2 linked regions of the Xenopus tropicalis genome follow. The protein of the gene in region 2 purifies or fractionates together with the protein of the main gene of each other region. This does not show direct contact. Links are inferred from orthologs where the notes say so. Each region holds a gene or a part of one and is shown on either strand. Other genes may lie near its edges.

Evidence for each region. The genes of interacting proteins can lie anywhere in the genome.
Region 1: the proteins of ebna1bp2 (region 2) and brix1 purify together in Homo sapiens (affinity purification with mass spectrometry; 4 studies listed by BioGRID and IntAct, counting the BioPlex papers as one, with this or other methods). This does not show direct contact. The link is inferred for Xenopus tropicalis from reciprocal best matches to the Homo sapiens genes EBNA1BP2 and BRIX1.

Annotation. Positions count from the first base shown.
Region 1 is NC_030677.2:199,187,566-199,190,418, reverse strand, and holds part of brix1 (ribosome biogenesis protein BRX1 homolog), read right to left. Parts: intron 2,542-2,853; coding exon 2,430-2,541; intron 2,149-2,429; coding exon 2,105-2,148; intron 580-2,104; coding exon 509-579; intron 322-508; coding exon 272-321; intron 98-271; coding exon 24-97; intron 1-23. UniProt on the Homo sapiens protein: Required for biogenesis of the 60S ribosomal subunit.
Region 2 is NC_030680.2:88,299,921-88,302,309, forward strand, and holds the end of ebna1bp2 (EBNA1 binding protein 2), read right to left. Parts: intron 2,098-2,389; coding exon 2,022-2,097; intron 1,243-2,021; coding exon 1,152-1,242; intron 1,075-1,151; coding exon 903-1,074; intron 820-902; coding exon 769-819; 3' UTR 501-768; downstream 1-500. Other genes in the region: fam183b (protein FAM183A), read left to right, coding at 201-314. UniProt on the Homo sapiens protein: Required for the processing of the 27S pre-rRNA.

The DNA of each region.
Region 1 (2,853 bases), on a different chromosome or scaffold from region 2:
GTGCTGCCAATCAGTCTACTGACCGGATCAAAGGAGAGAATCGGCCGCGAGCCTTTCAGGCAGTTCCCAGACATCTTCAGTTCTGCCAGTGTGTGAACTGCAAAAATGAAAGGCATCATGGGTTAGCACCTGAATATACTCAAAACAACAGCTCCCAGCTTTCAACCAACCACTAAAATTCACAGGGCAACAAAAACCAATGCAGAGGAACAATGAGATCTTTATCAGCTACACAGGGCACAGAGCAGCAACTACTATAGGATTAACTTACTATTCTGAACCAAGAACTTAGCAGAGGGACCCTCGGGGGAGTTGGATAACCTGCAAGGAAAGAAACATTTTAGACACACACATCTACTTATTCTAGGTTACTATCAAGGCTTAGAATGTGGCATTTATAGCCATCGCCCACAGGCTATACACATCGCCAGGCATAAACATTTGTACATACAGCTACACACCACACTAGTAACCTGCACGCTCAAATAAGAATCTGCTTGTTCATTACCACATATACAGATCCTGCTTCTTCTTGGCTTCAAAATAGATGCACTTATTGCAGTTCTTCATTTCACAGACCTAGAAACAAGGAGAAAGCAAATGAAGAAATCAGGAACAAGTCCCTAAAACAGGCCAGTAACCTGGTTTCTACTCTAACCTGATATTACATCCTGGGCTGTGGGCAATTAGAACATACTATGAGTCTCCCAAATATGGCATTAAATCTCCTAAGTGTCCCACTTGTTACCTGCAAGTTTTTGCTATGCAGTATTTGACTAGCAAGAGACTAACTGGATAGCAGGTATAGTAGGGATAAATGGTGCCTATAGTAGCAATGGGGGGATAATAGCCCCTGGGAAGGGACTGGGGCTGTGGGATAGCAGGTATAGTAGGGATAAATGGTGCCTATAGTAGCAATGGGGGGATAATAGCCTCTGGGAAGGGACTGGGGCTGCGGGATAGCAGGTATAATAGGGAGAGATGGTGCCTATAGTAGCAGTGGGATAATAGCCTCTGGGAAGGGACTGGGGCTGTGGGATAGCAGGTATAGTAGGGAGAGATGGTGCCTATAGTAGCAGTGGGGGGATAATAGCCTCTGGGAAGGGACTGTGGCTGTGGGATAGCAGGTATAGTAGAGAGAGATGGTGCCTATAATAGCAGTGGGGGGATAATAGCCCCTGGGAAGGGACTGGGGCTGTGGGATAGCAGGTATAGTAGGGAGAAATGGTGCCTATAGTAGCAGTGGGGGGATAATAGCCTCTGGGAAGGGACTGTGGCTGTGGGATAGCAGGTATAGTAGGGAGAAATGGTGCCTATAGTAGCAGTGGGGGGATAATAGCCTCTGGGAAGGGACTGTGGCTGTGGGATAGCAGGTATAGTAGGAAGAGGTGGTGCCTATAGTAGCAGTGGGGGGATAATAGCCTCTGGGAAGGGACTGGGGCTGTGGGATAGCAGGTATAGTAGGGAGAGATGGTGCCTATAGTAGCAGTGGGGGGATAATATCCTCTGGGAAGGGACTGTGGCTGTGGGATAGCAGGTATAGTAGGGAGAGATGGTGCCTATAGTAGCAGTGGGATAATAGCCTCTGGGAAGGGACTGGGGCTGTGGGATAGCAGGTATAGTAGGGAGAGATGGTGCCTATAGTAGCAGTGGGAGATAATAGCCTCTGGGAAGGGACAGGGGCTGTGGGATAGCAGGTATAGTAGGGAGAGATGGTGCCTATAGTAGCAGTGGGGGGATAATAGCCTCTGGGAAGGGACTGTGGCTGTGGGATAGCAGGTATAGTAGGGAGAGATGGTGCCTATAGTAGCAGTGGGGGGATAATATCCTCTGGGAAGGGACTGTGGCTGTGGGATAGCAGGTATAGTAGGGAGAGATGGTGCCTATAGTAGCAGTGGGATAATAGCCTCTGGGAAGGGACTGGGGCTGTGGGATAGCAGGTATAGTAGGGAGAGATGGTGCCTATAGTAGCAGTGGGGGGATAATAGCCTCTGGGAAGGGACTGGGGCTGTGGGATAGCAGGTATAGAAGAGAGAGATGGTTCTACCCAGTAACCCTAACGCCAAGTAGAAGCAGAAACATTAATGACTGGCAGGTTACTCACCTCATTTACTACAAACAGCTTGTCCTTACGGTCCATTTTTGTTTCTGCAGAGAGTAGGGGGAAAATCAAGGAGCAAAATTAGCAAAATTGACATTTACTGATCTAAAGCAGTTAGTAGAATGAAGACAAGCATCTTACTGGTTGTTATGGGACAAAGAAAATGCAAAGGTACAAGGCCTTGTATAAAGCTACTTAGGGACATAAAGAGACAGACAGAGGCTGTGCTTCTTCCATTAGGGCATATAGGTATTAGATATATATTTAGAGAGAGAGAGAGAGAGACACAGACAGACAGACAAACAAATAGGGGCTGCACTACTCCCACCTGCTTTTGTGTGGGGCATTAATGTCCGGAGGTCCTGCATTAAATGCCTGGTTCGGAAATTGATGCCACGGGAAGAGAATATGAGCACCCTCTCTTTGTTCTTCCATTTGCCCTGAGAAGAAATAAGACAAAGCACAAGTCCTTTAGCCCCTCTCTCTGTGTGCACCGGGCAAACTTACCCCCTGAGGCGCCTCGCGTGTCTTATGTCCAAGCATGGGGGGTGTAGGGGAAGCTTTTTTCCTTGCACCTCCTATATTGCCAGGATGCCAAAGTAAATGAGCAGCTCATGGCACTAAAGGTACAATACGCCACAGCACTCAGTGACCTACCCACTGCCATTCCCACCAGGGAACAGATACAGGTAACACAGTGTAGTGGTTTCAGTGCAAGTTATGGTGCAACCCCCCTGGGGCCAGGAAAGGCA
Region 2 (2,389 bases):
CCTCAGCACAGCTTCTTGTAGTTTTAGTATAGCATCAACTTAAGTAGAAATTATACCCACCCACCTCAGCTCATTCATTTGGGCTTACTTTTCTACTGAGAGTGTCTTGCATCCAAGTTAACAGAAATTATTTTCCTGTGTCCAGCAACAGTATGTATGAGAAATACATGTAACATTCAACAATTTTTACTTTTGGTCAGATAACCAGTGATCGAACAGATAGACGCTTACACTTCTTTCGAGAGAAAACAGAAATCACGAAATATATGGAGACAGCATGGCGCCTTAAAGAACAAAGCGAAAATATTCAGTAGAGGAAAAGTCACACAGCGATGTTTAGACGCTGCAAGGCTGAAGATGATCATTCTCCTAGTTTCCCTAAAACCAGTATTGCGAAGTACAAATGTCAGTTGATCGGGATGTGCTGCTCTGTAATTCAAACTATGTTGTAATTAATAACAGCACCTATTAATGTAATCACCTGCAATAAAAAAAATTACGGCATTGTACATCGTTTATTGTTGCAGTTTTTTCTCAAAACCTTGGCACACACAACCTAGCCATATTTAATGCCAGTTTTCAGCATTATGGCAGAATTAAAAACAAATGCAAAGTTTACAGCTGCATCTCTCCAAATTTCCATAAGAAGATGGCTTTGTTGGAGGTCTGTACAGTCTCTAGGTAGCAAGCAATTTGCTGCTAGTATGGATGTAGCAGTGAACTGGGTTGGAGAAAAAGGTCATCATTCCATTATGTCATTTCTTCTGTTCATCTGGTTTTGCTCTTCATTTTCTGTCTTACTTTTTTACCTGGTCTTTTCTACAAGAGACAATGAAACATTATGTTAGAAGCCTGGACCATACTGCATGTAAAACATTATTTTTATTATATGCTTTACTTACATTAGCATTTTTGCCACCCTTCTTCCCAGGCCTGCGTTGTCCCTTTCCATGTGCCACACTAGCTCGGAAACCGGATACATCGTTGTAACTTTCTTTTGTGTTTCTCTTTGAGCCTTTCTTTTTACCTCCAAAGCCAAACTTCTGGTCCTTGTAGCGTCGCTTTGCACTTGGCCTGTACATAATTTTTAGCATGATTAGAGGCAGAAATGCACCTTATTCTATCAGTTTAGTATATAGTCTGTGTCATACCCTTTTTTAGCCTTCTGGGCAGCGGATCCACCAGTCTTGTTCTTCTTCTGAGTTTGGTCCCCTTCCAGAAAATCCAATTTATCTGAAAGACCTGTTAAAGAGTTGTACTTTTGCATTTACTCAAGTATATTACAAAGCAAGAGGTGTATACAAAGATACTGTAATCACACAATTACTAATATTTGTTTAGACAAGATTTATACAGCTATTTTTGTATTATGTTAGTTGCTCAGATATCATGCATTTATGTAGTTTCTAAAAGCTATGTATTTTTTTGCGTCGGCTACATTAAACCTCCTCATTTCTTTTACTCTCATTGTTAAGCCATCCACAGGTATTGCAGCAGCAGTGTAGTAAATGTTTATGAGCCTTTCAAAAAAAAAAAAAAAAAAAATCCATTTGATTCTGCTTTGCCTTATAGGAAAGTGTTTTGCATTCCTGGGAAAATAAATAAAGGCCCTGCTGTAAAGCAAAATAGGCTTCTGCTGTTTGCCAGAAAGAAACCAGATACCCCCACTGAAGAACAAAAAGTGCCAATAGCGTTAGATTACAGTCAGTTTGACTACTGCTGACACCAGGCCATCAAAATGTTCTTTTCAGTTTTTCACCGATATGTGGGCTTCAGGCACCACAGTTCCTGTAGATTACTATGGCAAGTAGTGTTACCAAAACACACTGTGTGCTATTAGTTATCAAAGAAGTAAAGTAAAACTAACATACTTTAGACAACATTTCTTTTTGTTTTCAGGAAAGATAAACACTTTGACAACATTATACACTGAAATGCTGCAAGGGAAATTCCTTTTTCCTAACTGTACTATGCAGTCATATTATACAACATAATTAACTGTCATTTAATCAAACTCTTACCTTTTTGGTATTTTTTAATTTGTGTCATCATGGCTGATTTCTCTTTCTGTCTCTTCTGCAATACTTCAGTTTGCACCTGTGGAAGCAAACAGTACACACATTAAAACAAAACATTACATTACATGTAAACTATAATATATATATATATATATATATATATATATATATATATGCAAATATTTTTTTTTTTTTTTTAAATTGCCATTCACGTTATAAGACTAGTTGGTGGATCATCGGCCGACAGAAAAATGTTGGTGCCTACTTTGCACTGCTTCTGCCATTTCCTTTACTTGCATACACCTGTCTGCGCACATAAAGGGTATTTCAGGCTAAAATTTGCCCCAAAATACACACACCTTAAAAAACAT